Linked DNA regions of Alligator mississippiensis. The protein of the gene in region 1 interacts with the protein of each later gene in a pairwise test. Links are inferred from orthologs where the notes say so. Each region holds a gene or a part of one and is shown on either strand. Other genes may lie near its edges. The genes, in order: POLDIP3 and ERH.

Region 1 (15,443 bases):
GACATGAGCCTAGAAGGAAGGAACATAAAGGGGAACTTAACAAAGAATCCTGAAAAAGATTAGATTGGCTAAGGTCAAAAATACCCACTGGTGTTCAGATAACATGGTTAGGACAAGAAACATCCCATTTATTTTACCATGATTCTGCACAAGAACACATGGATCTGAATAAGCTGTGTGACTGAACTTTCGAATCCTCCCCTCCCCTCCAACCCAATCCTCGTGGGAAAAAACCCATAGCAACAAGCAGGCAATTCCATGCTGCCAAAGAGCAGTACTCACTCACCTGTTTGTGTGTGTGGTTGTTCACTACGTTGATCCTCATTCCCGTAGGATGAGAGTGTCCTGGAGCTGCAGCCTTCTGCTGCAAAACCAGAAAGAAGAACCAGTCAAAGCATTAACATCAACACATAGTTTTGATGCATCTTCAAAAAGGATAGCTACTAGTTCATTCCCTTCGAATAATTAACTTAGACTCACACTCCCACTGTTGCCAACACAGCGGCATGGGATGGTGGTACACTGTTTGAAGGCACAAAAATAATGTAGTTTTTTTTCTGTAGTACATGTTCTGTGTGAGAGACCATCCCATCAACATAAAGGAATTAAAAGCTAAGGTCTAGGCAGAGGATTTATAGCACAAATTATGCAAGCTTTGGTTCAAGATTAGCAGGAAATGAATTAAAAACCTCGAACGCTATTACAATCGGATTGGTGCATAAATAAATACGAATTAGTTAATGTGGTTAAGCAATGGGGATCACATGCCACTATCCTTTGGCACTGTAGGGAACAAATGGTATATAACCACATTTATGGTACTCCCTAGAAACTGCATTCTAGGATGCAAGCTCAACTAACTCAAATCTGTAGCAAGAGTGAAGTACCAAGTTCTCTTTCACAGTAAAGCTGGGATACATTTTACTTGAATGAAGTGCAGCACAAGACGGCACTGCTGGCCATTTCAGCAGTTTTACCTGTTGCCTTGTGCAACTGGGAAAAATCCAGGGTGTACAGCTTTGCTGAAGGGTTCTTTTCTGGACTATTATATCTCTGAGCAGTTCAACAGCCCTGAGAACAATTTGGAATTTGTCCAAGATAGTGAGGCTAATCCTCTGGCTCCTGCTACAGTAGCATGGGATCCTTCAGTCACCATGAACAGTCAAAGCATGGCTTCTGCATTTAATTTAGAAGAGCTCCCTGCGGTACAGCATCCTTCTGTTCTGATTTGCCAGTGATTCCAATTTGCAGGCCTGCAAATGATGGATAACTACATTATTTTTGTGCCTTCAACCAGTGTCCCACCATCCCATGCCACTATGTTGGCAACAGTGGGCGGTGTGAGTCTAAGTTAATTATTCAGTTACTTAATGATTCCAATTCAGAGAGAAAAATCTGCCCTAATATATTACCAGCAGCACCTCAAGATTTTGCTGAAGGTCTCAGTCAAGTAATGATGATAACATACAGATCTCGTCTTCATAGCATGAGATCTGACCAAATCAAAACAATGCAGCCATGTGCCTGAAAAGAACCAGAATAGTTCAGCTCATTTCCTCTTGTTCTGGTTGTGAGAAAGGGCATTAGCAGAGAGCTGGAAACTGGCAAAAACCCATCAAGAATCTTAGTTCATATGTAGGAGTTCACCTGCGGTTTTTGTCACTGTGTGACCTTGCACTCACTTGTTTACACAGAGAGAGTACTAAGGCAGCACAGTTGAGGCAAGTCATTACTGACATGACTGATATTTTTAAAGTGCACTGCTGCTGGACTAATTTTTCAGAAAATACTTAAATCCTTCAAACACATGGCTGACAGCCCCATATGCACCAACTCTGCTCCAATCATTCACTGACACTTGCAAGCATCCTTAACTGACTAATCTGAAAACTACTGAATGGGCAGCTTTTTTGTTTTGTGAGCTGCTATCTGGGGGAGGGAAATCTGAAGCGGTAATGTGCAAGTTGTCTAACTTTTGGGAGAAAGGTGCACATTTTGATGCTTTGAAGAAAAAGCTAAGCAAAGACCAAGGTCAATGGGACCCAAACAGAGTAAATCCCCACCTAAATTCAAGGGAATAGGGATTTTTCTTAGCAAAGGCTGGAAGCAAATGAAGGGAGTTGTTGGCCTGCCGATTTAACAAGAGGTGTTGATAGCTATATTATTTGTCTTGAGATGCACAATGATTTAGCAGATAACCAGGATCAGGATTAGAGTATCATAATTTGCAAGTGGCATGGTCTGCTGCTCACTCCTCTCCTCTTGATCATCCAGCATTCTCTTTTTCCTCAGAGAGGTTTGTTTCTGTTCACTGTCATTTTGTGCATTATAGACTTCAACAGACAAGCCTGCAGCTGATACATGGCTTTGGGGCCCAGAAGAATCAGTTAGGACTCAAGCTGCCAGACAAATGGGAAAATACGCATGACAAGTGAAGTCAGAAATCAATGGGCAGAGGAACACTGGCTGGGCGGGCAGTCAGCAGTTCTACTGAAACTGGGACAGAACTTGAATTCCAGCATTAAAGTGTTGAATAACTAGGCCACTCCCTAATGCTTAGGACCTTCATGGTAAAACAGTACCCTTGTACTGGACAAGGAACAAGACTGGAGTTTAGGAGAGGAAGCTACGTTCTGCTGAAGGCCAAAAAGAATGCAATAAGATGCATATAAATACAGAGTCTAACCTAAAAATGTTATGGTTGTGGGCTGTACTTCCTAATTAACAGAATTTCCAGCCATGATGTGCAAGCATGTTAGAAGGGTTCTGCAAAGATGATCAGCAGTGTAAGGCTTAGTAACAATATTTACATTTTCCTTGGATTTTAACTGGAAGAGCTAAGCATGTTCAAACCTCACAGAGTATCAACTATAGTCTGCACAGACTCAGAAAGATAATCTGACCTTGACACACGGAGAGAGTTACTGGCAGTTAGAAGGGAAAAAATGCATTTTTCTTAGGTAAAATCTTGTTTTTACAATTCCCCCCGCCAACACAGCACAAGGGGTACCAAAAATTCTCAGAGCTCCTAAAACCAAGCATGAAGATGTAAGTGCATCACTTTTTTCACATACAAAACAACTAGAACTCTTGGTTCCAAAGACCTTTTTCACTTCATTCAATTAAAAAATAATAATTTTTTAAAAAACTTCTCTCACTTAATTCAATTGTATCACTTTGTTTCACGTAGGGCTGGCTTGTAACCATGTGGACTTCTCTAAGTATAAATGTTTCAATTAGCCTGTAATGGGATAGCTGGTTGGGGGGTGGGAGCACGGAGGGGATGTGTGGTATGAGGGGGGTGACTTACTTGAATAGTTTTGGTGATTTTCATGGCTGGGCTCACTGTACCCATGGCTGGGCTCATAATGGCAGGAGCACTCCTTTTTAAGCTGATCTTCTCTCTGGCATCAACCACTTTGGTCACCTTCTCAGCAGCCACGCTCTGCTGCTTGCGGGAATTCAGCATTTCACGGGCATCCTGCACTTTCCCTTTGATTTTGAATCTAGCATCTTTTTGAACCAGTTTCTCTCGGGCGTCTTTAACTCCCAGTTTGTGTCGGGCATCAGTGAGACCAATCTTTTGCCGAGCATCAAAAGTCCGCTGGAAACCGATGGTTGCTGAAGGTCTACTTAGAAGACTTTGCTGGATCCCAATTCGCGATCTGACACCTCCAAATACTGGCCTGGTATTGAGCCTGGAAAAGAAGTTTCAGACCCAATATAAGCAGGTTATAGAATTAATAGAAACTTTTCAACAGTTTTACAAAAAACTAAAAATCAAACCCTGAGACAGTCCCATCTAGAATCCCATGCATTTATATGCATAAACAGAACCGAAGCCAGAAACATCTACATCACTAGCAATTGTGACTGCCTCTGCTTTAAGCTACTGGCAAAAAATATTTAAATTCCCTGGGTTGAATTTTTAAGCACAAACTCATAGATTAAGTTACTCAATACTGAAGAATAAAAGTTCACAGAGGAAGAAGCACAAGCAACTATAAGGTATTAATGAGAAGCAAGGTGAAGGCTAACAAGTAGGAACCTGATTTCACTATCCTTAACTTCCCCAAACAGAAACTGAACTGCCTGAATCTTTGCATGTGTCCATCCCCACATAGGTTTTTTGGAGCATGGGTACAGATTCAGTGGCAGGTGATAAAACTGAGAAAATTAGTTTTAAAATTATGGTACTGAAATTTTTTTTCCCCCACTACTGGCTTTTTGATTCATTACCTCCCCATAATGGGTTAAGCTTGATGTGTTTTTGACTGCCTTTCTGAAGGGGACTTCTTAGTATTATAGAGATGTTTTATAGGCAAATCCAAGGCTGAAAGAAACCTTGTAGGATATGTTGCATTATTTCAGAAATGACTACCATCATGAGAACATACAATGAGGTAAGCCAGGCTCTGTATGTTAACTTTACTGTGGCATTTTCTGACTTGATCATAACTCTGCGTGACTTTAACTATTCTACTTAACTTTAGGCAAAAATATTTAAAAAAATCCAAAGCAGCTTTGCATTTCAGAACCAGGCTCTGCTTGCATTCAATGGTGGAACACCAAATCTCACAAACTGTGTAGGAAATGTGCAAGAAGGAAGTCCCTCCCCTCAGGATTTTAGGAACAGAGCACTGGGGGAAAGATGAAGCATATTTAGATACCAAGAGGAAGAACATGGACCAAAAAAAGATGGTCAGCTTCCAGTACCATCTTGCCCACCTCTTGTCCCCTCTTGCCCACCTAAAACATTATTAGCAAAGGCTGGTTGTGTCAAGTTCCATTTTACCTTTTGGACAGATGTCTGAATATTTTGGGGTTTTACTGGGAGAGGGATTCTCCCCTTCCCCCAATCTTTCCATTACTATGAAATACTTAAATGAAAACATGCAAAGTTTTTTTGGCTAGCAACTAGAGATCTGATTCTATATCAAGCTGAGTGGCTCATCTCATATTTTGACCTTCAGCACATCGAATTCACCAAGTGGCTGTTTCTCAAATCTAATCAAGGAACATTTGAAAATTTCCGATCAACACCACAAATCAGTGATTGTAGTTAGCAATCAAACATCAGTATATAATTTATCTGACTCAACATGCTGAAGGCTGAAGTGGTAGAAAACTGATGAATGGGCTAATGTAATGAAAATGCTTCTTAAAAAAAAATGTCTGCTATGGTTTACTATCAGTCTTACTCACCAAGTCACACTGCCAGAGTAACAGTTAAGAGACAGCAATATCATAAAGATCTGATGTCAGTAATATTCAGAAAATATGTGAAAGGAAGTTAGAGAGGTGTATGACATGATAATAGGCCTTTGACTACTAGGTGCACTGGTGGCCTGTGAAGTTTTTCAAAACATGCTTTTTTGGGAGCTGTGCTGTGAACAATGGAAAAAAAGAGGCGTTTTATCCACCAAAACTCCCCATCATTTTAGACAAGGATACTTTAACAATATGACAATCCCTAAATGGGTTCAAAAGGAATAGATTGCTTTTTGATTGGAGTCAAATAAACAAAAATAAAAACAGAAGTCATCTGATACCCTGTTTTAGCATTTGAGCAGGATGACTGACATTGTTCCCTAATCAGAGCTGCTAAAAATCAGGCACGAATCTCTGCACTAGGGATTAAGTTAAACCCATGTTTTTAAGAGAGTCATAGTTAAAGAAGAGTGATTTGGGAAAGAACACTTTTCTGTAGAGAATCACTCTCAGAGTAGCATAATGGGGTCCTAAGAAGGGAGACCCTTAAACAGCATTACTCCATCCAAATCAGTTCCTATTATTACAAATCCTCCTCAATACCTAAAAAGCAAAACAATAATATCATCATCATCATGCTTATGAGTGCGCAAGCACACTTTATGTTTAGGCTTTCAATTTTTTATTACCATTTTGTGTGACTATATTTAATAGCATTTATACTGCAATACAAATATACTGTTTGCCCAACACTGAGTAAGGCATGCTAGCTGGTTCAAAAAGCTTGCACTCTAAATCATGCACAATAAATAAAAGAAAGACAAGAGAAAGGCAACACTCTAGTACAGGTTGCTGTCAAGAGATTATTGTTGAGTAGAAGAAGGTTGGAAAGCTTCCTGGAAGAAATGGATGTTAAGAAGGGATTTGAAAGGGGAGCCACGAGATGCCAAGCATATTAAGCAGCGTGAGACTGTTCCAAGCATAGCACAAATGAAGGCAAGGCTGAGTCCTCATCTAGGATTTAAAGGTAAACGAGAAGCTACTTGCTACTACCTCTTAGGTATCGCCTTCTAAAAGACAAGAATGTCTGATGAAGAAAGTCTTGTTTTTGAAAGTATATAGTTGGTCCAATAAAAGAGATCGCCCAAAGAAATCCCTGTAGATGTTCATGTGGGCTAAACTAGAATAATTCAAACCTATGCTTGCCCTCAGACCAGAATCACAGGGACTGTGTACCACCAGACACACAGAGAAGGAGAGAAGAGACCCACAGGCATCCCTGAGGAGGGTTAACCGATGCAGAAAAAGGAAGGTGAAGGGCTACAAAAAAAGGAGGCAGCGGAGCAGCAGAATCAAGAGACTACAGGCCTTGTCTTCAAAGCCCTTTGCTGAGCTAAGACCTGTTCTAGGGCCCTGCCCACAGCCACACCTCAAGGGGTGTGTAGGAGGGCTACCACACGGGCGGTTAAGGAGATGGTAGGCTTTTGAAGCTACATTCTCAGGTCCTCCTGAACAGCTGCCAGCACAGAGGAAGGCTGCCCCAGAAGCCCAACCTGTCCTCTCACAGCCAGGACCTTTCACTCCCTGCCACCTCACGAAGCCTTCCAGAGCCCACAGCTCCCGGCTGCACCGAGGGCATCGGCAACTGGAGGCCCACGGGGGAGACCAGCCACGGCCACTCAATAGATAGGGAGCAGCTCCCACAGCCTTAACACCAGCCCATGTGGGCAGAGGAGGTAGGGGCTAGTTCAGCTCTAAGCCAGGACAAAGCCATGGCTGGGGGGTGAGAACAGAAGGATCAACGGCCGGAGAGAAGAGCTCAGGTGGCCCCATCACTAACAGCGGCTGCAGGGCTGGGGGAAGCCAGGGCAGGGCAGGGCAGGGCAGGGCACCCCGCTTGAAGCTGGGCTGGACGCCCCCCCCCCCCAGCACAGCGGGGCTGCAGGGGGAGCGGGAGGGGGATCCCCGCCTCCCCCGGGGTCTCAGGGTGAACCGAACGAGCTCTCCCCCGCCCTGACTGACAACCAACGCAGCCAATCAGCATCCAAACAGGCCCCCCAAGGCCAACGCCGCAGCCAATGGGAAGTCGGGGTGCGAGTCAGGGCGGCGGCGCTGGCCCAGGACCTGAGGCGGAGCGGGGCTGAGGCTGGGGCCGGGTGAGCCGCCCCCCCACGACCCCCGCTGTGCCCCGCCCCGCTCACCTGCCCTTGGCGTTGACGCCGCGCTTCCGGATGAGCTCGTCCAGGGACAGGTCCGCCATCTTGCCGCGGGGCCCACGGATCCGACGCAGCGAGCGAGACCTGGAAACGAGACCGAGCACTTCCGCCACAAGCCCCGCCCCCGGTAGCGACCACGGCACGCGTCACGCGGCCCTGCCCGGGAGCGTGGAAGCTCCCAGAATGCCCCGCGGCCACGCAGGGCTATATTTGCATAACGAAGCACCGCGTTTGCACATATTCCTGCCCGAAAACTGCGAGTGCTGCGGGAGACCGCGGGTTCGACTGTCGGTACGGGATGAGTGGCATGAAACTAAACAGAAACTAATTTACAAGGTAGGCCCCCGCTCTCACCGTGACCTTGGGGTAACCCGCCGAGCGCCGCCACCCCGCCGCGCAAGCGTAGGTGTATGCCTTAAACTTATGAGTAAGGAAAATAACGACCCGGGGTGACGCCCGGGTTCTCACTGCTAATGTGAGAGGAATTTTTGTGCGGGCACAGGTCGTCCTTAGGGTGACCCGCCTACTTCGCGGGATGCCCGGGAGCAGCGATCTGCCCGACCACCCTGATCTGGTTAGCAAAAATAGTGTGGGATCAGCGCGAGTTTGCTGGGGAGGTGATAGTGGTGGTAGCTTGGAGATGAAGCAAATTTAAACATATTGGGAGCTCCTCTCTTTGCTTCGGCCGAATTTGTGTACTTTCCGCACGGGAGAAATTTTTTGCCCAAGGGATCCCCTCTATCAGCATCCTCCCCTGAAATACGAAACATCCTAACACGAAAGACAATGTTCTTTGGGTAAATCCGCCAACACGGCTACAACCTGTATTGTTGTATATACAGATATATTCATGTACTTTCATAAAATATATGAAAAGGCAGGGTAGTTTTGTATCTTAGACTAACCAAAGTGTGTGTGTGTGTGTGTGTGTGTGTGTGTGTCTGTATACACATAACATTTATATAGGCAGACAAGGTTTTTTGGGTAAATCTGATATCTTTTATTAGACCAACTTAAGTACTTGGAAAAAAAATTTTTTTGCAAGCTTTCGGGTTTAAAAACCCTTCATCCGGCTGAGGAAGTCTGCAGTTGGTGTGTGCTCTTCTTGGATGGAATGAATAGGAAGAGCACACAGCAGCTGCAGAGACTGCCTCAGCCCGTTGAAGGGTTTTGAAATCCGAAAACTTGCTAAATTTTTTCCCCCAACTATTTAAGTTGGTCTAATAAAAGATATCAGATTCACCCAAACAACCTTGTCTGCCTATGTCCTTAGACCAACACGGCTACAACCTACACCCCTGTATCATTTACATAGCTCGCTCGCTCTCTCTCTCTCTCTCTAGATAAATATAGAGATAGATAGCTATAGAGAGAGAGTGAGAGAGATAAATGTGTACACACACAGAGGACTCTATACAAACACAGGCACATTTTGGTTAGTCTATAAGGTACAAAACTACCTTTATATACTTTAATAAAATATATGAAAAGTATATATAGGAAGTGTGTATGCATATATATATATATATATATATATATATATATATAAATGTGTGTGTGTACCTATATATACACATACATGTTCTCATACACACAGACACATGCTTTTTTTTTTTTTGCAAAAAACATATATATATAACTGTACCTCTAACAACCTGTCAGGTGACCACTGTGGTTCACTTGACAGAACAAAACACACTTTAACAGCTGAAGTATTTTAGTTCCATTACAAAGTTCCAGGGCTGGCCCACAATTTTTTGGGGCTCCCTGCAATAAATAGTTTTGGGGCCCCCTGCTGCAAAGAAGGCAGCAGCAGTGGGGAGGGTGGGGGTGAGGGTGAGTGGCTGAAGAAGCTGGCAGCAAGCAGCAGTGGCATGGGGGGGGCGTGGCAAGTGGCCAAAGAAGCTGGCATCAGTGGCAGGGCAATGGTGAGCGGCTGGATGCAGGGGGCCCCATAGCTGCAGAGCCCCCTGCAGCCACAGGTTTCACAGAGTAGGAGGGGCCAGTCCTGCAAAATTTGCACTCCGCACCCATCACCATTCCAGTGCTTTCACTAGTTTTCACTGCATTCATTAGCACTGTATTTGTCTCCGCCGCTGTCATTAGTGCCTCTGGGCTGCCCAGCAGGGCAGCAGTGACAATGCAGACCAGCCACAGGGCAGCCCAGTGCAGGCTCTGGGTGGAAGTGACCAGCAGCAGTGAGGGGGAGGGGGGACGGGCTGCTTTTCTCCCCATGCCAAGCAACAGTTTTTGCTCACCTACTGCCACTGCTCAGAGCAGGTGTGGGGTGGTCCGGGTTGGGGCGGTGTGCAGGTCCCCACTGGTACTGTGGGGTTAGGGCCAGCAGTGGCAGCACCCGGAAGGAACTGCTGCTGCCTGGGCTGCCTAGAAAGGCAGTCCAGCTGTGGAGCTGCCCCAGTCTTGTTGCATGCCCAGGGGACAGCAGGATGCACCATGGGTGGGCTGGGTCAGGGCTGTGCGTGTGTATTCCAGCTGATCCACTCCTGCGGAGGTGAGTCTGGTGCAGGTGTAGGGCGGGCTGGGGTGGGGCAGGGGCTGCGTGCTGTTGGCGGTGGTGGGGACACACTGCAGGGTGTGTGGGCTCCAGGCTGTTGTGAGGCGGAGATGGATGCTGACTGGCTCAGAGGGGTGCACATGAGGGAGCTTCCATGCATACCCCACCATACCCAAAACTCTCCTAACTAACCCCACAACCACACCCTCCCCCTCACACAATCATACACCCCACAAACTCCATACCCACCCACACCCTCCTGCCCACCTTGCCATAAACCCCCCACCCGTCCCCACATACACACCCACATGCCTCTGGGGGGAGCCCTGCTCACTGCTACGTGCACACATCCCACCACACACACCCCAGCCACCCTCCCCCTCTACACACCCCCACAAACCCCATAACCACGCACACCCACACATCAACAAAAACACAACTTCTTACACACACCCCATACCCACCCACCCACATCCACACAAACCCCCACACCCTCCCTCACACCCCACATACACATCCATACAAACACACCCACAGCCCCTCACAAACCCACTTCCCCATATTCCCCCCACCCCTCCACACCCCTGCCTGCAATATACAAGAGTAAGACTTCATTTTGAGATATTATGCATTCACTTCTATATATGGCATGCAAACACACACAAATCAGGACAAAAATATTTAAAAAATAAAATTAAAATATTATTGTCAATGTTTGATTTTTAGTATATAATTTGGTTTTTTTCCTGGGTTTTTTTTTCTGTTTCCAAGATGGCCAACCCCCTTCCCAAAAGAAGTATTTCTGGAGGCAAGGGGAAGGACCTCCGACGGCAAAGGTCAGGGGTTAGGGGGTGGGACTTCCAGTTCCAAAATGGCAACCAGGGGGTGGGGCACTTGTCACTGCAGCCTTTGACAGCTCACCAAAACTCATTAAGTGGCCCTTCAGTGGAAATTATTGCCTGCCCCTGGTCTACAGGGTATAAAACTACCCTGACTTTGCTCTCATTGATGTTTAAGTTAGGGAAATCTCTTCTGCATTATCAAACAACAGCAGAGGCTTGTGGGCTCCATGTTATCTTTCATGTGCCTAGATACATACATACATACATGCATACATACAAAGACAAGCTTTCAAGGGCTGGAGCTCACTTCCTTAGATGCTGTGAAAGGAGATGTCCAAAGCTTTGTATAAGGACAGAAAAATTTGAATACAAAAGCAGGAGGGAAGGGCAGAGAGCAGGGAGGAGGGCAGTGCTGAGAAAGGCAAACACAAACAAAGGAGTCAGAAAAATGAATCCAGGCGATGGGCTAAGAATCCAGACCCCCTATTTTAAACCTGTTTAAAAAACAATTCAATTTGTCCTTTCCCCTGCAGGAACCTCAAACCAACAGGAGCTGCTGGCAAAATATATATGTGCCAATTTACCATAACTAGAAATATGCCAACAAAGTAGGAAACGGAGTCAGCCCTAACATTCCTTCTTCTCAGGAACTGGGGGGTGCCTGGTCTCCAAGGCCTATGAGACTGAGATGGCTGAGGGCAAGAGAAACCCAGAGACATCCGAAGCCCAAGCCTCCAGGCCTGGGCCTGCACATAGGATGCCTATCAAAGGATTTGGAAACATCTGAAACCCCAGGTGGGGGTGGGGGACATTTGCTGGTAGTAGGGCCACATATGGTTCTTGAATGACTCACAGATTTGGAATTGATTTAGCTGATCTGGTTTGGAACAGAAAACATTTTACTTAAAAAAAAGCCTATGAGACTGCTTCTGCTCCAGCATCTTACCTTCTTCCATCCCACAGTCCTTAGAACTCCTGAGAGAGACAGAGAGAGGTCTCTGCATCTCCCCTCATTTCCCAGGCACAACACTAAAGGGGTCTCCTTCCCAAAGCACTTTCCTTGATGATGTTCTGCTAGAGCTCCATGGTACAGGGTCATTCTCATATAGGCGCATAAGCCCAGATCGTCCAAGACACTTAGGCATCGCAGTCCCTGGCTTTTAGAGGCCTTCCATCTAGTGAACTCCTCTGCTCTGGTTACACATCCCAGCTCCATACCCAAAGCAGGGGGGCAGGTAGGTGGCTCAGGAAGGCAAAGTTTTGCTGGTGGAGGTTTACGTGCTTCACTAGATACTGAGGAAACTGTAGTTTTGTCAGCAGGAAGCTCCAATTCTGCTGGCATTCATTGCTTCTCCACCAGGGGGGCCTGTTGACACAACTCCACTTGCTTCAAGGTAGCTGCAAGGTATAGAAACAATGAAGAGATGCGGAGTGAAATAAAAGGGAGTTGGGCATAGACACTTAAGCAACTGTCTGGCTAGGCACATAGCTCCTCCCCTTGGGATCCTGAGCCATGAACCTTTCCTGCAGCTAAAGGGGCCTAATTCCCCCAGTCTGCCTAAAATGAGAGAGGTGGGGAGGGAGCCGGAGAGGGAGACCTACTCAGTAACCTACTGGTTGGAGCAGTCACCTGAGAGTTGAGAGAGAAAGCATGTCTGATTTAGAGCAAGTACTCATACAGCTGCTACATCCCAGGGAAGTACCAGACCAGCAGCACATTATTCCACATAGTATCTCTCCATCTCTCCCTTGGAGCTGCTTAGCTTTCTATAAATGATTAAATATTTGCTAGAGCATGGGCTTATGTTTCAGTCTCCTACAGCCATTTGAGTGCTGTAACTACAGTGTCAGAGTATTGGTATCTCTCTCTCTCTCTCTCTTTCTGTTTCAGGCAGGTACTTGAACCTGGGTCTCTCACATCCCATGTCAGTAGTTGAAACACTAGATCCCTCTGGGGGTGAAGGATGCAAACATGGGTGCAAACAGACCTTCCTGGTGAGGTAGGTGAGAATCTTATTTCAGGGCCCCTGAAGTTAAGGTTTGAATTGGGGCTCTGAACTGTGGGGTGGTGTTGGTGCTGAAGCATCACTCTACATGCCCACTGACAGAAGTGTAGCTGCCTAGCATAGAAATGTAGGCACCAAATTTAGGTGCCCACAGGGATATGGGGCACTTGAGTGGTAGTTTTGGGGATGCTGCTGCATGCTGAAGATGTGCAAGGACACAGATAGTTGTCTAAATACCTTTGATCACCTGAGCCCGATTCTTAAAATGTCAAGTTTACCTTAAAGTTTCCTTTAAGGCTTTCCTTTAGTTTCTTTTAGTCTTTTTAGTTTCTTTTAGTAGGCTTTCTTTTAGTTTTAGTTTGTTTTTTTAGCTTCTTTTACTTTCTTCTAGCTTTAGTTTCTGCACATCTATTTTCGTCTTACAAATCTTAGCAAACCAACCTGTGTTCCAGCCCACTTATTAATTTCATTGCTCCCCACCACCACACGTACATACATATGGGATTCATATTCCAAAGGAGTGTTTTACAACTGCTGGTGCTGATACGCTACTATGCTCAGACTGAATGAGACTCTGTAATGTGCAGGTCCTTTCTTGACCCTTCTTCTCTTTTAAAAACATCTTTCACTAGCAATAACAGTGCCAGGGATGATGCAAATTGTTTTTGTGATGGATTTTGTCCAAGTTGGAACTGGGCACTATGGACACAGGCCCAGAAGCTGGCCAAGTGTCCTGTCAGGTAAGCTAAATTTGAAGGGAATTAAAAGTTCCCTTGGAAGCTTGGTTCTGGAAAATGTCAATTTTCCAATCTTGGTTTGTATCCCCTAAACTGTAAGACCACCCATTTGTGGCTTCCCATGCAATCCTCACACTGCTCCATGCAACTATGCTGATCTGTCTAATAAGCTTACCCTTGCTACTGCCTCTCAGGAGGGCACCATCCATCTTTGCTCGTGCCTAGACAGAATAGGCTTGTTGTACTGATGAACATCTATTTAGCTTGGCTTAGTCAAGAGGATAAGAGGGTCACTTATCAGAATGAGAAGGACCATGATGCTTTGCAGCAAGACATTCCCTTAATTCCTCTGAATCATACTGGGCTGCACAATTCTGGGAACAGTTTGTGTGTCGTGTTTTCAGCACCAGAACACATTAAAAATGGGGATGCAGTGAGCAGGCTGCAAGTCACCGCAAACTACGGGTTGATCTCTCAAACATGAGTTACTTGTACTGTCCTCACCCCAACATGTCAAATGTCTACAGCCAAAGCAGCATTCATATTCCCTCACCTGAGGATTATGTCCTAAATTGGTAAGGAAAACAACAGCAGAGTATAACTTCTGGGCTACAGACACATGGAACTCGAGGAAACAGACTGCGTTAAAATGTTTCTGTTTGAACTTCAGTCTTATTACTGGAAATGGGTGGGAGAGGACGGAGAAGCTGCATCCAACTCCACCTGGCAAAGGAACACTTGACACACGCTGTTCAAAGATCCACCCCCAGAGGGGGAGTGGACAGGGATAATGAAGAGGACAGTGACACAACTGGACCTGGAGAAAGTGATGATGACAGCAGCAGGGTTAGCAACAGTGGAAGCAACATTGACAATGACAGTGAATGAACTGAGAATGTAAACCTCAAAATTGGGGCAAGGACGAAGAGACTGCAGTTGGGTTAGGGGAAGGACTGCAGACGGGTATATGGGAGCACAGGTCACCAGGTGTGTTTATTGTAACGGGCATGCGGGCTTTAAATGTGGTTTAAGGTGCGTGAAGAAAAGCTTTTGCTTGATGCTATATAACTATATAACTATATAACTATATATATATATATATAGTTATAACGGGGGTGGAAGGGAGGGGGCTAGGGTGGAGTGCTGCCACCTAACGCCCCATGCTGCTGCTGTTCTGCTTTTTGCAGGGAGCAGGGTGGGGGAGCCAAAGCCTTGGCTCCCCCACCCTCTGTCTAGTCCCCGGCGTGGCTTTGGAATCATGGTGGCGGTCCCCTGCACTTGGAGCACTCTGATTGGCTGTTTCCATCAGCCAATCTGAGCACGAATAAATACGGACAGACAGACAGACATAGGCTTTTATAAAATTAGAATGTATATATATATAAAAACCTATATGTATATACTAGGCAATTGCCTATCAAGAATGAAGGATTTCAGGGACTGTTTACATGCCTCCGCCCCTGCTCACCCTTTTGGGGCCAGCCATGTAAAGATTCCCTCCACCACCGCCACCTCCTCCTCGAACCTCCAGTGTGGGGGCTCCCTCCACCCACCCGCCTCCACATTGCAGCAGGACTTACGCCACCTCCCCTCTCCTCCCCTCCCTGCTCCCCTCCTTTTCCACTGCCCGGCCCCAACAACAGCCAGCCCCAACAACAGCTGCCACTGTGACCCCCCGCCTTCACCTCCCCCTGCCCCATGCCCACCCAGGCCCGCACAGCCTCCCTCCCTCCCCTCTGCCTCCCTCTCCCTGCCAGCTGTTGCTGGGGCTGCATGAACGACTTGTGCCCCTGGCAGCCGAGGGGGCACGGCAGCAGCAGCACAGTGGTGGGAGCATGGCAGTGGCAAGCAGGGTAAGTGGTGAGCAGCGACCACCCACAGGTGCCGCTGACAGTGTCGGTGGCACCTTTTGGTTG
Region 2 (15,841 bases), on another chromosome or scaffold:
TGCGTGTGGCTGGAGCCCCAAGCTCCTCGTCTTAATTATTCCAGCATCTGGGGTTTCTGCCCCTTTTTGTCTACCCTCAGGCTACTGTTTGTGCAGAGTGAAATGCAATAAAGTAAAATAAAATCAAACTTTGTTTTAAGAAAACAAAAACCCTACTCTACAATGTTAAAATCAGTAAGTCAAAGTTGCATTAATAAAAAGTACATTTTTTTTTGTTGACTACAGTTTATATCACTTTAATGAGCCTAGATGAGGTAAGCTGCTGCTTACAAAAGCTTGTTATATATCTGATTTAGTTAGTCTAAAAGGTGCAATTCTACCCTGATTTCTGCCTAGATTATAAGAAATGGGAAAATGCTTTAGTAATTTTGCAATTTTTGTACTGTGGTTGAACGACAGAGTCTATAAGGGTTTCATTTATTACATACTGAGCATCAAACAGTTTTGAAGGCCTGATCTGTCCAGCAGTGTATTTCTGTAGCCTGCAGAACAAATCCACGCTGTGCCAAAACTCAGCTTTCATATTTAAAAAAGTACATTTCAAGTCCCTCTGGCTACAAAATTATTTCACTGACAAACATTATGGTAGGTGGAATAGATGAGATGGAAATAAAGGCCACAACGAGAAAAACTAGGAATTGCTATAGGAAAGGAAATGCAGAGGAGAAAACAAAGGAGAGGTAAATGGATGAAGGAAGAGATGCAAAGGACAGGGATAACAGGGGGCCTAAAAAGACAGCATATTTCCTCAAAAGGCAATGAATGCAATAATACAGCATGGATTTGAAAAAGCTTATTACTAAAGGTGATATTCTTCTCTTGAATTTTGACATGCATGAATTTTTCTGTTCTGAATTATGGGAAGTACATAGTCCTGCCTACAGATCACAATTAAACATGGAAGTTTGCCCCCACTACTTCAAATGAGTTTCAAGTCAGGATACAACTTTAAAAAAAGCACCTGCCTCTGCCTGCCCCAGAAGGCACGAGGAAAGAGAACAAGGAAGTCAGTAAAAACTTGTGCTTACATAGGCTAGAGAAGTACACACCAGATGGCCAAGTTACTTGTTGGTTTTTTTTTAAGTATGAAAAAAACCAGAAGTCCCTATCTACCTATCTTTTCAGCAGGCACCTTACCCACAGACTACAGTGCTGTGGCAGCCTGGAGGCGGCGGTGATGATGGCAGAGAGGAGCCATAGGGCAGCCCAGGCACAGGCTCTGGGCAGCTGCAGCAAGAAGGGCTCAAAAGCGATGATGGGGTAGGGCTGATTTTCCTCTGCACTGAGCAGCAGCTTCTGCCTGGCTGCCATCACTGCTCAGCACAGGCACGCGTTCCAGAGCAGGCGCAGGGTGGGTTGGGGTTGTGCACATGGGTTCACTCCAGCCAGGGCAAATCCGGAGTGGGCACAAGGTAGGCCAGGGTCAGGGTGGGGGCGATGTGCTGTTGGCAGTGAGGAGGTGCAGGGTGTAGCAGGGTAGATCTAATTTAAAAATCAAACAGATTTAAATTACTGGTCAGGAAGCCTTGATTTAATCATTGTTTTCTACAAAAAGTGCATTCTTGCTTAATACATATTATTCACAACTCAGAGATAGATTTAGGTTTCATTTCTAGAAGGTACACTCTATACCAGTGGATCTCAATCCACCAGTAGATCTTGGAGCCTCTTGGAGTAAATCTGAGGCTGAGGTGGGGGGCTGAGTGCCCACATGCATGCATGCACACGCCCCAGCCCAGCAGGTCAGTCCGTGGAGGAGGGAAGGGGCGGGGGCTGGATCAAGGCCCCTGAAGTGAGGGACAATCCTGCAGAGGCAGGAGCCGGGATAAGCTCAGTGGGGCCCTGGCCAGGTGGGACTTACCTGCTGGGGAGGCATGCCCCCAAATAATTTTTTCTCCCTCTGCCTCAATTTGCCACCCCCCTCTTCCCTCCCCACACTTACCGGGGGAGGAGGTGGGATCGACAAACAGGGGGGACGGTGGTGGTGCATAGTAGATCTTGGGTTGCTTTTAAATGCCAACGGTGATCTCCTACTTAAAAAGGCTGGAGACCACTGCTGCTCTATACATTTTCAAGCATTAATTTATTTTGATATTTTTTCAGATCAATTTTGTAGCTACATCAGAAAAATGAATTGTGATTCATTTATTGTATTTACCAAAGTTAATTGAAGCAGATACTTGTGAAGTCATTGGGAGGTAAATGATCTTCAATTCACTAGATTAATCGTGGATATTTGGGGGACACTTTTGCCACGGTGTATTAGGAAGACATCAAACGAGCACTGCAGCCATAGTTATTAGCTTAGGGCTTTCTTCACCTTCTTCTAGATTTCTTTTCTCTATTACAGTCTGGCAAGCCTGTTGCCATGATAGGTCTCTCTTCTACCATACCATTCCCTCACTAGTTCTCAAATCAATGGAGAGGATAAACTCAGAAACTTTTCCCTCAAGACTTCTGGAATGTTCTGCTCAAAATGTTTCTCTTTTATTTGTACTTGCACTTATCTCCAGACTACTCCTCCTTGCCCAGATCTACTCAACCCCCAACAATCCTTTATTCATTTAACTTCTTGAAACTTTGCACTTTTAGAGAGAGGTAAGGGCTCGACTCTGTACACAAACTTGCAGAGACACAATAGGGTTTATGGGTGGGTAATCGGGTCTTCTCTCTCATCTCCATATACTGCTGTTAACAAGGATGTTATCTCTAGAGACAAAAATCCAAGTTTGAAAACTGGAACTAAGCATCACAGAGATGCTTAAGGGGATCTTCTAGACCAGCAGTCTCCCAGCGTGATGCCCACAGGCAATATGGATAAAACTTCAAAAGAATACAGAAGTAAAGCAAAGCTGCATTTTGAAGTTGTGGCTCTAATGCAATTTTAACTAATAGATGAGATGATCGGATTGATCTAAAGTCTAAACTTTAATACTCATATTGGCATCCACTGCTTTTTCTTTTAAATTCAAATGTGCCCTTGGACACACAAATGTTGGGAACCCCTGTTCTAGACTGAGCACTGAGTCCCACTGGATAGAGTGGTTTTCATTAATCTTTACTAATCTACAGGGGAGCCTCTGGGAACCCCGTAAGACTGGGCCCCTAATATAGTCCACGGCCAGTCATGACCTATTCATAAAACTTTTTTTAAAAGGTTACATGAATATATAGTCTCACAGAGAATATGATTAGAAGTTATAATCCCTATTCCATGACAATACCTTTGAGCATTAACTATCTTTATATAGGTTTAGTTTTTTTTAAAAAGCATCTTAACAAAAAAATAAAAAAATACAATTAAATAAAAATCTGACAAATAAAAAATACAATTATTTATTTTTATTATTTGTTTAATTGTTGATTTTTATCCACCCTGGCACACAGACTCCAAGCTGTTGCAAGGAAGGTGGGGGGAGGGTGAACAGCTTGCAGCAGCTCCCCAGAGCTACCTATGCAGCCCACAGTAGAAAAGACACTTGAAGATGCATGTCCACACACCCTTGCTTCAGAATTCCAGATATGTACTTCACGGATATTCTGCAGCTGTTAGGCAAGGACAGAAAGCTCAGTGAAGCCCTCCTGTTCTTTGTGCAGGCCGGAAACAATACAATGGGTCCACCAACATAGCAGTGGGCACCAATATCCCACTGATGACAATGGCTTTGGCAGGGAATAAGGTACCAGCTTGTCCAAGCATGTAAATGCCCGATCTCCTTAGAACTCCGGCATTGTGCACCTTGTCAGTATTTCCTCCCACAGGAGTTCACAAAGTGTGGACTACCAAGCCCTGGAAGATAAGGGGTCAATACCTTTTACAAATTAATACTCACAGGTTCCTTCAGGAGAGTGGACTATGGCCACTTAATTGCTAACCACAGGTCAAGTACATTCCAGTAAGCTCTATTTTCTGAAAGCATGCTTTTATTTAATTTCTTGTGCTCATAACTCACAGTAAAACTACCATTTTAATTTATTGGATTCTTGATACATTAAAAAAACAGGATGCAACTCATTCTGCACTGGAAAATACTGGGGTTCTAAACTACAGTGATAACAGTAGTAATAGCAAATGTCTCATTTGTGCAGAGTAGCAGGTGTTGCGCAAGATGCTGTCCTTACAACCGTTAGTTTTCTGACTGTAACTTCGAGTGAACAGGATCCCCTACAGCAAGGAATCCTTGATGAATGGACATGACATGTAAGAGTAATTGCAAGTTGGCCATACTTTACCCAATATATTGCCAAAGCTAAAACTTTCGATTTGAAAAGTATACTTAATGTTTTGTTAATTAAGACTCCCTAATGAAGGGTTAAAATTGGAGCAAGCACTGAAATTCCTGTTTTGCAATTAATATTATATGCTATAGAAGAGATCCAATCTCCAAGGTAAGTTCAAAACTAGATTTATGTAAATCATTAAAATAATTTATTTAAATGAAAGCCTGAACTAGGGAACTCCATTAGTTAAAGATAATAAAAGAACTCCCAGACGTGCCAGTATATAGTTTGTCAGGCTTGATAAAAGAAGTGATCCAAAGTTGCATAAATCCAGAATGCCATAATTGCTTTTGATTCTTCTAATGGGTAAAAAGTCAACTAACAGTGTTAAATAAAATATTAGTGAAGCATGAAAAAAGGGATTTGCCTTTATATAATTAGAGAGAAAGCCACTACAATGGTTTTACTTTCCCTAAATAAAGTGAGAAAGTACTGATCATCATCATCTGACATATGACAAAGCCAATGCTAGTTTATGACAATGTTACCAGTCATTTGCAAAGGTTTAGGGTTGAAGACTAAGAAAAATACTATGGGGCAAGCACTTTCAGAAATTAACAATTATCACAGCTACACAGCAAAATGATTAGGTTATTTTCACTATACAAATTGTACTTTGGCTAAACCAGCACAACTTCCACGTAGACATTTAATTTGAAAGGAGGCTTCTTTTTTTTTTTTTTAAATGTTACACACGTTTCTAATCAACATAAGCAAACTAAGATTATCCACACAGCCTTTAATGCCATTTCAGCTTAAATCAATTCTTAAAACACAAACCTTCAGTTAAACTGGTGCACTACACGTAAACAAGCTGAAGAATTTAACATAATTAAAGTAAAACCAGCATGGCTGAACATTCTGAAAAGTGGATGAAGTTTAGTTAACCTTACTTAGTTACTATAGAAATGGGAGCCATTTGAAGATCACTTATAGGCAGAAGTGCTTGAATTATATTGTGGTTAAAGTTTTGTGAAGTACACCAGTCCAGAAGTTAGAGAAAACAAGAGAATCATAAAGCCCACAGTCTCCCCCACAGCATATGTAAAAAGTGATCAGAAGTCACGTTCAGGACTTGGTCTCTCAAGTCACCACTCATCCCTGGCCCATGGAGCCATGTCATCCAGTCCACACGTCCAAAAATGTGGTGGTGGGAAGTACTGGCAGCAATTGCCTCTCCTCTGCTGCCAAATTTCCAGACCCATGGGGAGCCACATGAGCCAAACACTGGATTAGCACATGGAAGTGGGTTGTGGCCCAATCCAGCCACACAGGAGCTGGCTACAGGTGGCTAAGGACCGGATCCTATAGCACAGGGTCAAGCAGAGACAGCATGGGGCCCCAATCTGGTAGGGGCTTTAGGGGTGGTAGTGCAAGGCCTTGCAGCACTCATCCAGCCACCCACACCAAAACCAAAACAGACAAATTAATGACAGGTTCAATTTCCAATGTCTGATCTAGTGGCTCACAAGATACAAACACTTTCTCAATTTTCCAAAAGCATCTTACAGCATTTGTTTTTAATATTAAAAGGGTACAGGGACAGTATTCTTTAATGGTTATTCAGAAAGCCAATCTGATAATCACAGCTCTTGAAAATGCAGTTTGCCTTACCTTAACTTTTAAAAGTGATTAAGTATGCATACTAGTAAGTAAAATACTTTTATTTCATAGATTTCATACATTTTCATAGACATTAGGGGATGGAGGGGACCTCATGAGATCATCGGGTACAGCCCTCCCCCGCATAGGCAGGAAGTCAGCTGGGATCAAGTGACCCCAGCAAGAAATAAATCCACCTGTTTTTTGAAGGAGTCCAGAGTAGGTGCTTGCACCACCTCTGAGGGGAGTTTGTCGGCCCCTTGCTCACTGGCACTGGAGCCTGGTGCTGAAACATGTGGCCTGGCCAGCCACGTTTCAGCACCAGGGCGAGGGCCAACCATAGAGATGCTCTGGCAGCAAGAGTGTCTCCATGGAGGACCCAGCCTCCGGTTGCCTCAGGGAGCAGTCAGGGACTATGCCCTGCTCCACTTTTTTAAACATCGATTTTTTTAGACCCCTGGATATCCAGGGGTCTAAATTTTCTCCCTGCACTGCAAACTTGCAACATGGGGAACATTTTTTTGTTCCCACACGTCTGTTGCCCCACCTCAAAGGGGTTTGAGGAGGGGCAAAAGGCACGTGCGCGCTCGTGTGGACGCGCCCTTTGGGTCCAACCCTGTAGCCAGCAGTTGCCTAGCCATCGGACTGTATGATGATCAAGGCCACAGTTCCCCAGCTTAACCATGAGGACATCATGGGAAACTAGGTCAAAGGACTTCTTGAAGTCCAGATATAGGACGTCCATGTCATCTCCCTTGTCCAGGGTGCATGTTACCAGGTCATAGAAAGAGATGAGGTTGGTCAGGCAAGACCTACCAGTCACAAAGCCATGTTGGCTGGCATTCAGCAGCTTGCCATCCATTAGTCTGGCATTAATGGATCCCTTGACAATTTTCTCCAGGATCTAACATGAAAGACCATAAATATGCAACTTAAAACTGACCCGACCAAAGTTCTCTATTCTAAACTAAAAACAAATCTGCTCAAAATCAATCAACAGCTTATCAGTAACCAAAAACAAAACAAACAAAACAAACAAGCCCCCAAAAGACCTACATTCCTCCAAGATGTTAAAAAAATTAACAGTATTTTAAAAAAACCTCACAAGAAAACATATACCCATTTTTCCCTGAAGAAAAACAAGGTAACTATTTAGTAAGTGCTGCCAAAGATCATTAGTTCATCAGTGATAAAAGTTTGTGACTTAAAAACAATGATGGCATCCAACTAGAGGCACTAATGATGCAAAGGCTCATTTATATGCTTAACTTTAAGCAGGTGACTAGTCCTTCTGGATTAACGTGTGCATTTGACAAATGGGGGCCAAAAAACAGTATAAGGTAAATAATGTTCCCAAGATGAAACGTAGTGTACTTAATGGAGTCGCTCCACTTATTTTCATACATATCTGAATCTGAGAGAAACATGTGACTGAAAACAAGTGGAGCAACTCTACTAGGTACAGTACAAAATAAGCCTATAACACTAAGCCTACTTACCCCAAGGGGTAATTTTTCAATGCCTGAAATCTGTCCTAACAGTTTCTTCCTTTTAAGAGTACTGAAGTCTAATTTGAAAGGTACATTAGCATGAAATAAAGCATCAATCATGTACTCCAGGAGTAGAATTCCTTACTATAAGAAATTAATCAATAGCACCCTTCTTCCCTGGCATCTGTTGCAAGTTATAAGCAACAAGGCTTTTACTTTCTAGTTTAAACTCTTACAAAGCAGCTCCATTCCTGCTGGCTTTTTAATACATCAAGGGAGACTAAAAACGTTATTGTGACCCATTTCTTAAAACTCTGAAGTCCAAAAACATCATTCCACTTCATAATGGTGCATACGTTCAAAAAGCCTTAGTCAACTGTATTAAAGCTCTAACACCTAGGGCTACACATTGCCAGTATGGGGCACAATATAAAAAAGTAGTATTTCCAAAAAACCTGAGCTTATGCTTTAAGCAACAGAAAGCATGGGTGATTGGTACCTTTCAAGGAAAAAAAAAAAAATAAAAAAATCAAGCTGTAACTTCCAGTAAGTGTTCAAACATAGAAGTGAATCAGGAAATTCAGACCATTTAGTTTACCATATTAACACATCACTAACTGCACATAATAAATATTTGAGTAATGAATGAGGGTGTAAAGGGGGCTAAAAAGTTAAGTGATCTCAATTTAAAAAATGTAAAGCAAAAAGACTCTACTATTATAAAACTGAGTTGACGTTATAGATTAGTAAAACAAGCTCAATTCGAGGGGTGCTATATTCTCCCACATTAAAAGCCAGAGGTTTAACTCTTAATCCTTGTGATCTCCTTATTTTTAAATATGCCACTTCGTTGTGCGTAATCGTATTAACCAAAACAGCACCCTCAAACTTGACTGAGAAGTGACAAAAATAAATAGACATCAGTTACCTTTTAAGGTACCCAAGGGAAGTCAGCAACTAAACGCTCTCCTCTGCAAAATTAGTTAACACTCACTTGCTTCATTGTTATCAGTTTCAGCAAGGAAAACCAGGTATTTAAAGTTTATTTCTCAAGACCTGACATCTCTACTGACCCAGCCCCTCGCTGCTACCTCTTCAGCCTCTGCTCAGACGGGCGCCCCTCCACACCGCTAATCACCCGCGCTGCCCTTCTCCACCACTTCTTCGACAGCCTTTTTTCTGAAGCGCGGCGGGCACAGCCGGCTACAGTCCTGGTGCCCCCCTCAGCCAGGGGTTAAGCCAGGCACTCCCGGCTCAGCCCGAGGGTGCAGGGGCCGCCGGCAGCCCCCGGCGAGGCGATGGAGCCGGGACACGCGGGACGCCCTCACCTCCGAGAAGTTGACGGCCAGGGGGATGATGCCGGCCACGTAGCAGCCCACCAGCATGGCCAGCGACAGCAGGCTGATGGACACGAAGTCGTCCATGGCGACGGGCCCCGCGCTCAGGTTCCCCCGCGGCGCTTCCAGCGCTGCCGGCCGCGCCGGGGCCGCTTTCGGACCCCGCCCCTGCCCGCGGGGCCCGACCTCGGCCCTCAAGCTCCGGGCTCCATCTTGGCCCCGCTGAGGCCAAGTGGCAGCTTCTCGCTCTGGCGCTTGCTCCCTCCGCCGGATCCGCTTCCGGGTCACCCACCGCCAAGATGGCAGACCTCACGAGGCGCGACGGAAGGAAACGCTGCCTTTAGCAAACATGGCAGCCCGAGTCTCCGCTCCGGAAGCCTTCCCGGCATGCGCAGCGGCGGTCGCCCGCCAATTCTCGCGAGGTGCCTGGGCGGCGCTCTGGCTCTGTGGGAGGTGCTGTCTCTATGGTGAAAGTGGGCTGCAATGAGAAGGGGGAGGGAGGGAAGCCGTTTGGCGGTTGCTGAAGCGTTTCCGGTCGGCGCGGGGGATTGTGGGGGACGGTTGGGAGCTGCTGGTTCGCGCCGGGGGCTGTGGAGAGCGAGTCGCCATGGTGAGGGGGAGGGGGCAGAAGCGGGGGCGCCGCAGGGGCTTCGGCCGCGGGCCGCGGAGCGGGAGGCGGAGGGGCCGGGGGGTGCGGGGCGATTCTGGGGGGACAGTGCCGGGCTGCGCGCGCCATTTCCCGCGTGGGGGGAAGGGCGCACGTGGGGGGGGAGGGGCGGGATCGGGCCCCGCGGCGCACGTGCGGCCGGCAGAGTTTTTCCCGGACAGAAAGGCGGTCCCCGGCGGCCGCGGCCTCCCCGGGGGGTCATGCCGGGCCCCGCTCGAGTCTCAGCTGCTGCCGCAAGCCGGCTACGTCCCTCTGCTCGTTCCGGCTTGGCGCTGCTGCCGTATTTCCGTCCCCAGGCCCGGCCCACCTGACACTCGGAAACGTGGCTCCTGCCGCCGGCCCAGCCCAGCCTCCTGGGCCCCGAGCGCCCCTTTGGAGCAGTACCTGGCTTCTTTAAAAAAAAAAAAAAAAAGTGAAACTTTTTTATAAGAGACGTGCTGCTCCCCGCAGCTTTGGAGCCTGCTGCAGGAAGCCCCTGCTTCTGCTGTGCAATAGGAGGAACTCAAAATCCACTAAAAAGGTCTGCTAGGTAATCCCTGCCTGCACTTGCACTGAAGCGGTTGGCACAGGGTCTTTCCGCCCCACTTCCCTCCCTTGCTTGTTCACTGGTGGCAGTAGTGTAGGTGGGTTGCAGCTGGTAGAAACCTTTCTGCCAGGGTATGGAGCCTGACTGATCCAGCTGTCTGCACCGTCCCAGGTGCTTTTGTAGATGCATACCCAAATAAATGTTTGTCAACTTCCTTTAAACGTAGGAACTGCCACAATAATTCAGACCAATTGTGTAGCCACTGGGTGCTTCTACGCAGGTAATTGATATAACTGTATTTACTGTGGCTCAGTTTGAGCCAGAGTAAACTAATCCCAAAATCACTGTCTACATGTGCATGTAAGCACACTACTTTACTGTGCTGCTGGATACCACTTGTATCTGACTGGGCTGTCGGGTACCGCAGTAAATTAGTCTGCTATTCCCTAATCGCCATGCACCCGTAGATGGTGATGCTTTATTTAGCACAGCAGATTGGTCTGCTGCTCAGTAAAGTGTCTTATGTAGACGTACCCATTTCGCAGTTGTCAAAGGTACAAGAATCCCAATTTTGGGCAGGATTTCCCATCCCGTGTCAGTTTGTTCTGATGTGTGGTGGTGTGGATATACCATCTCTAACTGGGGATAGAGATTTTCATATTTCTAGAAAGGTTTGACCTTTTTTGTCTTAAGCCCCTATCTTATAGCAATGAATTCTGCAGCTCAGTTTAATGGGTTATTTTTGCTTTTTGTGTTGGAAAAATCCTCGTTTCCCAAAGTTGAGGGAAATTGATTGAAATGAATTGGAAGGAATCAATTGTGTGAAAATCGGGAGTTCTTTAGAAAGAGTTTATTAAATGACTAAAAGCCCCCAGTTCCACTACCAAGGAGCTCAAAACCCACCTTACTTCGGTGGCGAATCAAAAGCAGAAATTAGAAACTTAAATCCCAACACAACAAATGCAAAAGAAGAAATAGCAATACAGAAAATGGATATGGGAAGATAGATGTGGTGGGGGAGCAAGATTGGACAGATGATCTCTGGCTGGTACACCAAAATGACAGAGAGAAGCTAAATATTTTAGGAACAAAATAGGAAAATCTAGCAATAGTATAGACGCAATGCTTCATGTAGGCAGTAAATTGTTAATGGTGCAGAAGAGAAGTTTTTGGTAAATATTTTTGCTCTGCATTTTACAAAAAACAGGATGGTATACATTTATGAAAATATATAAATATTTCAGGAGTGTGAAAAAATACTTTCCAGTTAGTAACTGGGGAGGTTGTGCACAGGAAAATAAGGCTGGAAGGGACTTCATGAGGTAATCTAGTACAGCCCCCCTGTTCAAGACAGGATCTTCCCTGACTAAATCATCCCAGCCAAGTCTCTGTCCAACATTTGAGAATTTCCAGGGATGGAGATTTCACAACTTCTCTCAGTACCTGTTTTGATGCTTGACCCACCCTAATAGAAAGTTCCTCCTTTTTTCCAACCTAAATTTCCTTCACTGCAGCTCAGGGCCATTGTTCCTAGTCCTGTCCCCTACAGCTGCAGATAATAGTTTTTCCATCTTCTCTTTAATCATCCTTCAGGTATTTGAAGGCTGTTATCAAATATCAAATCCCCCTCAATCTTCTCTTCTCCAGACTAAATGTCCCCAGTTCTTCCAGTCTCATAAGTCTTGCTTCCCAGGCCACAAATCATTTTTGCCTAAAACTGGACCTGGTACACCAGGTGAGGCCTCGCCAGTCCCGAATGGAAGAATCCCTTCCTTTCACATGCAAGTGACAGTGCTGCTAATATGACATGAAATGCTGGGTTAGATAACATCTCTTAGAATAATCATTTATAAAGGTCTGAATAACTTGCACCCAGGGGGCACATACTCCTGTGTGCGTTTGCTGAAGCAAAAATAGCACATGTTTGTGCCACTGCTTTTAGTGGCTGTGCACGCCCCGGCTCATGGGGTTTGGTGTGGGGCAGAATGCCCCGCTTCAGGGAAATGGCTGTTTCCCCACTCCTCCCAGCTCATGGCATGCTGAAGAGGAGCCAGGGGACACCTAAAGCAGTTGAGACACTCTGGCTGGTAGCCAGAGCATATCCCTGGAGGACCCAGCTTCCAGTTGTGCAGCTTTTTTTGACAGCGTTTTTTTTGTTTGTTTTAATACTGAGAGTTCCCAGTATCAAATTTGCAGCGTGGCAAAGAGTTGCACATGCATCGCATGTGGTATGCTGTGCTTCAAACAGGTTTGAGGCACCACAAACCACATGTGTGCTCATCTGGACACCCCCTGAGATACTAAAAGAGTTGGCCGAGGACATCTCTGGCCTACAGATGTCACTTAAGCTTGGAATGGTGGGGAAATGACAGATGACTTAAAGTAGTATTTATTTAAAGTGGGCAAGTGGGATTACCCAGGTCATTATATGGCATCATAATCTGACACCAGTGGTGAATAAAATGATAAATGCTGATACAGGATAAAATTAAACAGCTAGTCTTTAATCTTTGTTAACTAATGCCACTCAGCATGGCTTTAGGGAAAATAGGTCTTATCAGATTCAACTCATTGTTTAATATTACATGTTTGTTTGACAAAAATAATCGTGGTTCTTATATACTTAGTACTGCATAGTAATCTTATGTAAAAATAGCAGCATCTGTTATCAAAACGCAAATTACATGTATTCAAAAATCCAAATAACTGTTTGAGAATCATAATAGAGACACTCCCACTCTAATTGGGGTTCTGTAAGGCTTGGTAATAGGCCACAGCATTTAACACTTTCATAATTGTTGTAGACGTACATAATCACTGCTTAAAAACAAAAATTAAAGATTGGCAGAATGATATTAAGGGGGACATTGTACTCATACAGAGTAATCTAGAGTGTTTGAACATAATGCTCTTCAGTACAGCTGAGTGCATAGTTATTTCCAGGAATAAGGAATGCTACAGTTAAAAATGGGAGTGTAACCTACACAGCAGTGACTGAAAAGGTTTTCTGGTATAATGAGTTCCCTTTGTGATGCTGTAGGATTAGGGGTTAAGACAAATGTTTGTTGTATAAATGGGAGCAGAGAGCAGGGACGTAAATTCTTCTAGAGAGGTAAGTTTGTTTGTTTTTCTCGAAATCCCCTCTATGCTATATCATTTTTTTGAGCCAGGATATCCAGAACTGAAAGTACTGTTCCAGGTATGGAATACTACTGATTGCTATAAAATAACCGTATAACACTTTTCCAATCCCCCCCCCTTTTTTTTTTTAATAAAACCTAGTAACACTTCTTTTTGACTCCTGCCAGATACTGAGATGAGGTTTTGATTGGGCTGTCCAAAAGGAGGTTGTGTCTCTTTCCTTTTTGCAATAATGTGTATTAGAAGTTCACATCTTTCCACTGTTCATTACTTTATATTTGTTAGTAGTAATTTTGTGTGCAGTATTGCTGTCTACTCACCTGACTTCTTTAGTGTTGAATTCAATTATCACCATTGGAAGCAGTGTTGTTTCCTGTGCACTTGCAAACTTTCAGCCATCTGTAACCAGTCACATAAAGCCACATCATGGAATATTTTTACTTTTTTGAAGTAGTCTCGTTATCTTTGTTTGTAGAGAAAATAGTATAGGAATAATGCAAACTACACACAGCACGTATGTTACATACAGTTGGTTATAGGTATGCAGTTTCTCTGGGAAACTATTTTTCGTAACTTAATCCACCATACACAGTGCAGTTCTCTATGCCAACAATCCTCTTTGACTAGATAGACATATTTTCATTAAGCAGTATTCTCGTAAGCTTGCGTTTGGAGTACTTAATTTCTAATACTAAAGTCATCCATTTTTTAGTTAATTTATGAACAATTTTCTTAAATAACAGTGTAGATCACAGTTGTGGAGCTTTGCACTCATGTATAATTCAGATTATAAAGATTGTAAATAATCTCTCATATTTTACGTGTTAAATTTCCATTTTGTGACATGGGTAATGTTGGTAAACTGAAGTTTGATTTCCCTCCATTTTTTCTACCCTCTTGCCTATTAAAATAAAATCCCTACTTGCTAACATTTATATTGGAAAAGTGAACTGAATAAAATGCAGATAGCATGGTTTTTATATGCTTTAATTTTCTTTAGCTGTTCTCTCGTATTTACAAAGAAGAAGCCTGATCCTTGCTTACTGTTTCTTGAACACACTAGGTTTTTTGAGTGTGCAAGGAAAACAAAATTGCTTTCTGGGAGTAATGCATATAATTGACTATAAATTTTTCAATTAATGCGACTGAGATTGGAAATAGCTAATTGCTGGTTAGCAGGAGGTACATGAAATACAGTGGTGCCACCTAGCAGATCTTTTTGCAATTTCTAATTCTTTGCTACAAATGTGAAATGTGTTTTCAGTATTGTAATGGCTTTCTGGGATTTTTCAGAAAGAAATGCAAGGCTGTTTTAAGCCCAAGCCATAATTATTCTTTGGATAATAGTAGTAATAACAAGAAACACAGAAATAGGATTTTTTGGTTGTCTTCTGTTATGTGTGAATGGTCAGCTGAAAGTTTAGTTTAGTCTTTTTGTGATTAAGATTAGTGATTTGCTCAAGTATTTATGATTTTTGAAAATTCTGAGTCAATGTTTTCTTGTTTTTGTGCAGTCTCACACAATTCTGCTTGTTCAGCCTACCAAGAGGCCAGAAGGCAGAACATATGCTGATTATGAATCGGTGAACGAGTGCATGGAAGGTAGGTGTCGTTACTTCTGCAATAAAAATGCTTTAGCTTATCTCCTTTCTTGTTAAGGAAAGTTGTTTCCATGTATTTTCTAAACTCACTAACTGTAAGAATGAGCAAAAATGCATTTTTAATGCAAAAAACATATAGAAATAACATTACAAGAATGGAAAGTTCATTACAAGGATCACATTCAGTTCAAGCAAAATTTATGTTAAAACAGCTCCAAATTACATTTGCTGCTTCTGTTTAGTCAGGGTCCTATTTTGATTTCATTATATTCCCAAGTCCTGCAATGAGAGCAGTGCCGTGCCAGGGTAGAACAACATTTCAGTGCAGAATCAGGGCCTAATTTTGTAAAGAACTACTTATTTCCATTAGCCCTGCAAAGTAAATACTGCTGAAAACCATAATGTAGATATTTTTGCCCTTTATATTGGCAACTAAATAAGGCTCAGCTGCAGCTCCTTTGTTTATGTAACGGATGATCCAGAAAGAACCTAGTTCAACTTACACACTTATACTGCAAAAGTCTGCAGCTGTGATAAGTGGAAGGAAATATTTCTTATAAATGGATATGAATTGCTGTGAATGTATTGGTGGCCTTTGAGAAGTGCTGAACATCCTGATCACCAGGGAACCATGTTTGCTGTAGAAAAACACGGATTTTCTCCTTTAAAAGAGTAAAACACAGGAAACTGTGGGTTTCCGCTCGCAGACTACAGAGTTCCAGCCTGATGGCGGGAAGGGCTGGGCAGGAGGAAGGCAATCACAGTGTGAGTGCGCATACATGCATATGGCAGCCAGGCAGCATGGGGGAGCAGCTCCCCATGCCCCCCCCCCCCCCCCCAATATTTGTGCACCCACAGTGGAGACAGGGCTGCAGCCTGGCTGGAACGGTATGGGGAGGAGCCAATTCTGCAGCCCAGCAGGTGGGACCTAGCATGGGGAGGGGAGAGCAGGATGGCAAGACTTGCTGCTGCCACTGCCAGGATCAAAGTGCCAGCTGCACCATCAACAGTGCAAAGAGTAAATGGGGGTGGGGTGGGCGCGTGCACGCGCGCACGCATGCTCTGTTGCCCTAACCTCCTTCTGCTAACAGCTGCTTGTCTGCCTGGCCACAGCTCTACATTACTGTCATGGCCCAGCTGCTGCTGCTATTCCACTCAGGCTGTGGCTGTACCTGAGGGAGTGGGGAGAGGGGCAG

Evidence for each region.
Region 2: the proteins of POLDIP3 (region 1) and ERH interact in a two-hybrid assay, tested with the Homo sapiens proteins (2 studies listed by BioGRID, with this or other methods). The link is inferred for Alligator mississippiensis from reciprocal best matches to the Homo sapiens genes POLDIP3 and ERH.

What each region holds. Positions count from the first base shown.
Region 1 is NC_081827.1:89,169,311-89,184,753, forward strand, and holds the start of POLDIP3 (polymerase delta-interacting protein 3), read right to left. Parts: upstream 7,548-15,443; 5' UTR 7,472-7,547; coding exon 7,413-7,471; intron 3,699-7,412; coding exon 3,311-3,698; intron 365-3,310; coding exon 287-364; intron 1-286. UniProt on the Homo sapiens protein: Is involved in regulation of translation. Is preferentially associated with CBC-bound spliced mRNA-protein complexes during the pioneer round of mRNA translation. Contributes to enhanced translational efficiency of spliced over nonspliced mRNAs.
Region 2 is NC_081825.1:232,519,732-232,535,572, reverse strand, and holds the start of ERH (enhancer of rudimentary homolog), read left to right. Parts: upstream 1-9,158; 5' UTR 9,159-9,174; coding exon 9,175-9,177; intron 9,178-9,218; exon of another isoform or gene 9,219-9,317; coding exon of another isoform or gene 9,318-9,320; intron 9,321-14,558; coding exon 14,559-14,646; intron 14,647-15,841. Other genes in the region: SLC39A9 (zinc transporter ZIP9), read right to left, coding at 8,702-8,797. UniProt on the Homo sapiens protein: May have a role in the cell cycle.